Schizosaccharomyces pombe: one gene and its partner. Changing the gene in region 1 together with any one later gene gives a genetic interaction. Each region holds a gene or a part of one and is shown on either strand. Other genes may lie near its edges.

What was found.
Region 2: mutations in SPOM_SPAC24B11.14 (region 1) and SPOM_SPBC1348.10C together harm fitness more than expected from each alone (negative genetic interaction), as found in Schizosaccharomyces pombe (one large-scale study listed by BioGRID).

Annotation. Positions count from the first base shown.
Region 1 is NC_003424.3:228,536-231,642, reverse strand, and holds SPOM_SPAC24B11.14 (uncharacterized protein), read right to left. Parts: upstream 1,099-3,107; coding exon 962-1,098; exon of another isoform or gene 901-961; coding exon 844-900; exon of another isoform or gene 814-843; coding exon 507-813; downstream 1-506. Other genes in the region: dnf2 (phospholipid-transporting ATPase), read left to right, coding at 2,960-3,107.
Region 2 is NC_003423.3:25,626-29,927, forward strand, and holds SPOM_SPBC1348.10C (phospholipase), read right to left. Parts: upstream 2,748-4,302; coding exon 795-2,747; intron 731-794; coding exon 662-730; 3' UTR 530-661; downstream 1-529. Other genes in the region: SPOM_SPBC1348.09 (dehydrogenase), read left to right, coding at 1-1. UniProt on the Schizosaccharomyces pombe protein: Catalyzes the release of fatty acids from lysophospholipids.

The DNA of each region.
Region 1 (3,107 bases):
TAGAGAATGTACAAAACAATGCTCAAACTAATAAATCTCTTTTTTTAACGAGGGAAAAGGGAGATGCAAATGTACAGAACTTTTAAAAACAAAAACTTTTGAAAGCAAACGATGTTACCAAAAAACAAGGGTGCGTGAGCAGAAGGAGTGAGAAACCCGCCAAATATAAATGTGTAAAGACTCGATGAAATAAATCAAAAAGGAAGCAACTTGGTTGGACGAAGAAATAGCCTTTGGCGCAACGCGGATACCGAGAAACCAAAGTATAATATTCTCAACAAACTTGAGAATGCTGAAAATTCAGTGTTTTGAAAGAAAAAAAAAAGTAAAATATACAACTAAAGGCTTTCTAAAACATAAGATTAAAAGGAATTAGAAAGAGAGAATTGAAAACCTTCAAGAAGAAATTTTTAGGTTGCTAGAGAACGGGATGCGTTTGTCAAGAATTCGCTCAATTAAAAAAAGGCGCCGGTTTTTTTTTCACTCTTCCACCAGTAAGAAGAGCGCTAATTGCGCAGCCCGCAAAATTTGTAGCGAAGTTTGCTTTGACTTGCGTTGATAAGCCCAACTATCTCACGTTCCTTATCTTGTGCACAACGATATTTCGTTAAAATACTATAAGTAGTATACGGGACAATGTCAAAATGTGCAAAAACTGTATAAGGTATCATTGAATTCGGTAACCTATTTAACGGGACTTTCGAATGTGTAACAAAATATAGTGAAATATAATTATAATACCTAAAGTAGGATTGCACGTTGCTAAATTCAACATTTACGATGTATCGTTGGAATCCAGCAACTTTAACCAAGCTATAAGTTTAGAGTATGTTTGTTAACTACATGTCAACAGAGGTGGGAATTATAAAAGAACTCAAAGCAATTTTGGAACGGCGATTGCTGCAAACTAGATTAGTCATTGTATTTTCTAATAAAATCTTTGAACCAAATTTTTAAATACAAAAGCTTTAATTGCTGATTGATATTTAACCCCCTATTTGAGTTCGCATATGGTACAAATGTCCATGTGTTGGAGCAATTCCTCAACGAAATGAGACGCAGACATACATGCAATGTTTTGTGATTGTATGCAAACATTGTCGTTATGCCTTTGGAATTGTTTACGCGTTAGTCGCGAAAATTATTCTCTAGTACTAGGAAAATTGCTTATCGTCACAATTTTTTTATTGCCAGTGTGAAATGACAGTTTTCTAATAAATTTCATTGATTTATTGAACCCATATGTTAGCAACTCTCTTTTCCCGAGAAGGAACTGCACAGCCAGTACTAGATGGACAAGTCACCGCGACAACTGGGAAAAGAGTGGCTTGAATAGTCACGGTTTGACTGAATAATTTTCGCGCTTTTCATTGAGAGTCACGTGAACGCTACATTAGTCGCCATTTAATTTTTATTTGTTACCATGTTTTAACGGATAAAGGTCCATTGTTGTTTCTCCAAATTGGGTTTGTCTCAACATACGGATGTATTAGGGCGACCATTTGTTGATGCACTGAGCACCAATTTCATTCGGCCTACACATTCTCTTTGTTTACTTTTTGGAACTAATTATACGTTGGTCTCTTTGCGTTTCGGTAATGTTTTGTTTATGCTGGTAACATTTTATAATGTTGAAATTGTCAAATACTCTGTACATTAAAGACTTGATTTCGAAATTCATCTTAAAAGATCAAACCTAGATTCGCGGATTGTTTACAGTTTCATCTTAACCGCACATTCGCATCCACCAGCAATTATCTACACGTGATTTTATGTTTCCGTGAATTTAAAAGATCTAGTAAAATGTAACAATGATGGATAGCAACAAATTCGATTTCATTAAAATCATAGGAGAGCATTCAGTCACGTAAAACTCGCACCCACTATCATTTAACTAGCCATGCGCTAATCTTAAGTGAAGCAAGTTCACTAATAACAACCGTAATAATCTATTACTATGCTCTAAGCAACAATTTGCTTGCTATTTAGCAAATGAATACTACTGTTCTTTTACCGATTTGCAACGGCAGCCACGTCTGCGCCACTACATTACCGCTATCGGTCAGTTAACGAGAACGTATATACAGTTTCTTATGGCGTTTAAACCATCTACATTCATCTGCATTATACAAAATAAAATCGAAAAATTCAAGCCGAATGTAATGTTTTCGGCTGTAAAGAGTGCGCCAATAGTGCAAACCTTTTCTTGTCCTAAAACTCTTGGTTCAATGGGAACGCGTAAGTATTTAGCAGTTAGTAAGTAAACGGATTTTGCTACTTCAAAAGAAAACAATGCAACCATGACGTTGATATTTTGGAATAACGGGATAGGAATGAGCAAGTTGTTTTGCAACTCTATGTTACTTAACGAAGCATAGGTGTTACTTTGAAGGGTTGCGAAAGTCTGACCACAACCCAACACAGTTTTTACAAAATTCGTTTCAATTCTTTGATTCTGCTGTAAAAAATAGGTTGAGAGCGTTTTTATTATACGCCAAGTAAATTTTTTCGAAAAATCCTCTTTTCGACGCTTACTCTTTTCTTAGTACTAGGAGGCTGCACATAAAGCTTCCTTTGTTATCTTAGTCTCAGAAAAAGGGCGTTCTTTTTATTTTACATTTTCGTTGCGTCTCCATATTATCCCATCAAATATTGGTACACGCCTTTTATTTTCATTTTATATCATCTTTTTATTTTATTTTATTTTTCATTTCACGTTATTTACAAGCACATCGTTTTACTATTCGGTTGGGGCATCGTTGATAGATTTTTGTGTTCTCGGTATTTGTAACATCCTCTTATCCGTACCTTTTCCAACACATAATCCCCACATATCTTACATTTAGAAAGCCTATATAAATTATATCTTCATTTGTTTAGGGCCGTCCCTCTGCATTTGACTCTTGGCTTTAATTTAGTTTTCTCCTCATTGACTACAGACCACTCTCCTTGAGGTCGGATGGAAAGTGTTGAGGAAAAATCAAAGCAAAGGCGCTGGCTTCCCAATTTTAAGGCTTTACGGCTCAAAGTCTACCGTTTAGCTGATCGTCTGAATATTCCTCTTGCTGATGCCGCTAGAGTAGAGTTAGAAGAATATGATGGCTCAG
Region 2 (4,302 bases), on another chromosome or scaffold:
AACGATTTCGTTCTACCAATTGAATATTCCTCTTTTACTGTTTTTTGTACCAAACTGTTGATAAATCTTTCAGCATTTATTTAGTTTCCTTCCTTTAGGAAGTTTCAAAATACAGTAAAATATTTAGTAGTGACTCCTCATATATTGAATTAACAAGTCTCTGTCTTACTTTTAAATGTTTGTAGTCAATTTTATTATTATCTATTTTTTAAAAAACCGGGAGCTTTTAAAACAATCTATCATTTAATGTTCATCATTAGCACAACGATCTTGGACTATTTTTCATTCAACTTGTGATTCCCAATTGTACGTATATATCAATTTAAAGCAATGTTGTATTTAATCGTTTTCATGCTTACATTCTTTCGTTTCGTGTCTTTACGTGAATGCACATCGATCTCAGATTGAGCCAACTAAGCCTGTTCATCCATTCGACCGGTTGCATTTATCTAAAAAAGTTTAGAGATAACAAATTATTCATTTACCCGTTTACATAGCTCCATCAAACGTAAAGGGTTTAACTGAGCAGTCTCACGAATGAGGAAAATCCTTAGTTCTCTTTCATAACGAATTCGTAACCAAGTACAATAAAGGTAAATCTATCTATTCTAAATTTCTCACATGCCTGAGAATCCATTGAAACAACATCAATGGAATCTTTTTACGGATTTTCTTTCGCTTCGAAAATCGAGTCCCACCAATGTTTATGAGTGGGAGTGGCTGATGCTACCTAGAACAAAAGTTAGCGATGAAAAAAAAAATAGTTTAATCAACGTGAATTTTTGAGAACATACAGATGAAGATGTTGTACTAGAGGCTGTACCCGAGGTTGTGCCTGACGGTGCACGAGATGTTGTCGCAGCAGACATTACGGTAGGATCATATACAGAAGCCGTACTAGTTGCAAGAGTTCCGTCCCAACAGTATTCTTGGAAACAAGAAGAGCACTGGGTAGGAGTACTCAATTTCTTGCGTTCCAAAGAGCGTTGAATTATAGCGCATGCTAAGCAAACTGCAAAAGATTCATTATTGTTTTGCGTAGTCGACATAAATGCATTCTCAAGAATTCCATTAGCCATCTTGTCGTCCATGCTCATAGTAAATGTCGATATATTGGAATAATAAGTCCAAGGGTAATTTGGAAAGTATACAAGGAGAGGTGGGGTATTATTGTCTACATCATGATTTCCTGCTGTAGTATTTTTACCGTCACATCCAAAAAACGTAGGACGAGTGTTTAGTCCCAAAGAGATAATAGTGTTTTCGTCCGGAATATATGGAAATCCACGCACATCAACACTCTTGTTCGCATTAAAGGTTACAACTCTCTCATATGTAGCAACAATGGAAGATCCAAGGGGCCAACCATAAGGATCATTATAAGTCGAATCAATCGCAAATACAACGTCCACAAATCGTTGTGGGTGTAACAAAGGCCAAAGGGGAATGTTTTCCCTATCCTCACCACCATCAACTAGATCAATAGTATCATACGGTTCGAACGCATTCACTACAGAGGTATTGGAAGTAGTATAATTTTGGTAAGGATTGGGATAAGGAGCAATATCATCTTGATGCTTAGAAAGATCTTCAAGAATCGCATGAAGAATATCGTAATAGGTATCATTCTTTTTGACATTTTCATTCCAGTCAAGAAGAAAAGAGTTGAATAAAGTAGCTGAAGTGCCCATAACAAAACCTGCATTATCATAGTTATGAATGCAAGACTTATCGGGTGGAACCCCATCCAACAAGTGAGTTCCCACATATTCCATTGGAATGAATGCTTTAATTCCATTGTCCCATGTACCAAATTCATACGCCGTGAACTCAAAGATACTGGTATTGGCAGGGATGGCCGTTTCTTCTTCTAATCGGCTATCCGCAACGATGATGGGATAAGGATAATCAGCATTTTGAAACCAGCTTTGATTTCTCATACTGGAATATGTAATGCCTGGTCCTCCCCTTTCAGCATCAACAAGTTTACGGGACAAAGCACGTCCCCATAAATCCGTCAAAGAACAGTCAAAGCCCGCATGTTTCTTTTGATCAATTTCTTTGCGCAAGTCATTATAATAATTCAAATTTTCAATGACATTATCCCCATGAGGAGCAAAAACGCTATGTTCCAAATTCCAGACATTATCACGTAAGTATGTTATATTCGTAAAATTATTAATAGCCACTGATCCAACAAGCCATGAACCACCAGAAAGACCGCTGATATACATCGCGGATTGCAGCAGACCAGAAAGTGGAGAGTCACTCTCGAATCTTGAGTCAAAAGCATTGAATGCACCACCTCCATTAACCATCGCCCGTAACCCACCACCTGAGAATGCAATTCCTAAACGTGGACCATCCGAGCTGTTAACCACCTTATCCAAGTCAACATTCAAACCTGTCTTAGAAATAAATGATCGGAGTTCACTGTTAACCTTAGAAATACGTTTGTTGATATAGCTCTGTTCGCCCTCATTTAAACCTTCAGAAGCCGGCCTCAACAGATTGTCGTTTGAACAGGTCACATTGAAAGGGGCATACGAAGCGTCGGTACTTCGTTTTACGAGCGCAGGTTTCCTTTTAGACAAAGTGTAAAGTACGGATGTATCAATATCTTGTCCTTTATACGAACTAGATTCTTCAAAATCATATATTTCAGAAATCTCCACACGACCGGGAGGATAAGCTAACGTCAACGAAATTTGAACGAAAGCAAAGAGTCCAATATAGTTGACATACATTGCAGAAAATAAAAAAAGTTCAAACAAAAGCTGTAAAAATTGAAGTTCGCATGGAAAAGTGTACTACACGGAAGAATATTAAATCATATATTACTCTGGCGCACTACACATCTCTGATCCGGAAGAAAGAATTCCGAACTTTAAAAGCCCCAAAATTTGTCGCGTTATCTCAAGATCTGTCTACAAAAGTGATCTTAAATACGAAACAATGCTTGCTGCAAAATTCGCAAACGTTAGGCGGATACAATTTAGTACGGCAAGCTTTTACTTTATGATCAATGTTACCTTAAATTTCTATTGAGTAACAAATGTTACAAGATATGTATGCGAACAATAATACCAGAAGCTGATCGCTCATCATCGAATGGAGTTAATTACTTCGCTTATACAAAATAGTTTGTTAGTATTACGATGCATAATCTGAAATGGGAGCGTGTAAGGGAATGATCTGATGATCACGTATTGATTATAAATATAAGTAGGAGGATGATAGTAGGGACATTCGATGTATGGTGAGAGGCAACGTAATCTAGTGTACTAGCGCGGATACACGAAAAAGAAAACGCCAATAAAATGCATAGCGAATTCATGATTCCACGTTTAACACATTGCATGCATTTCAACTAGCTTAAGTTATTTTGATCTTCATATACTAGGGAGAAATAAGTTTTGTATTTTCGAGTAGTCTTTGTTCATAAATCCTCGCTATTATCACAATTATTCGACTTTCATACATGTAAATATCTTTTCGCTTGACCTCGAGAAAACAAATTTGTTTGTTATTTTTTGCAACATTTGACATTATTTTATGATATGTCAATAGTAGTTTTAATTGCTCGAACGTACATTTGTACTTTTTGTCACACCTGCTTAAGTTGTACATCGCGGTAATTTCTTATTATTAAAGGCCATTAACCTGATTGTCTCTTTAGATCTCTCTTGAATTGTTTGTTTTACTGTATCTTTCCGAAACAGTACATAAGGTTGTAACTTTTCCACACTAATTTCCTAATCATCGTTATGCACAAAACATTTAGCTGAACAAAGTTTGATAGTTTTTGTATGGCAGCTTGTGATGCCTTTTTATTTGTTCTACTTTTTCTTCAAGTTGGAGATAAAAGAGCACTTTTTAGTGATCAATTATGCTTTAGGCTTATAGGTCGTATTTCATTTCCACGATCAATAATTACTTGCTCATTTACCCACATCAAATCTACATCGTGTGCATTGTATTTATATTCTCTACTCATGACTACCAACTATAAGCATTGAACAAGAATATGCTGTTTCTAATATTTGTCATTGTAGCCAACGTCGTTTTGGACTTGTTTCAAAATGATAGTGCTAATAATTGCATTTATATTTAATCATTTTTGGATTCATTTTTTTCTCATTTGCTTGATTAAAAAATTAACATTATTGTTGAATATTCTTTTACTGCTAATCGCCGTTTAGTATCGCTTTTATACTGCCGTTCTGCTTCTCGACATTATGCGACATAAACTTAACTTTTACAGAAATATTAATCTCACGAATTATCTACTCATACTATATT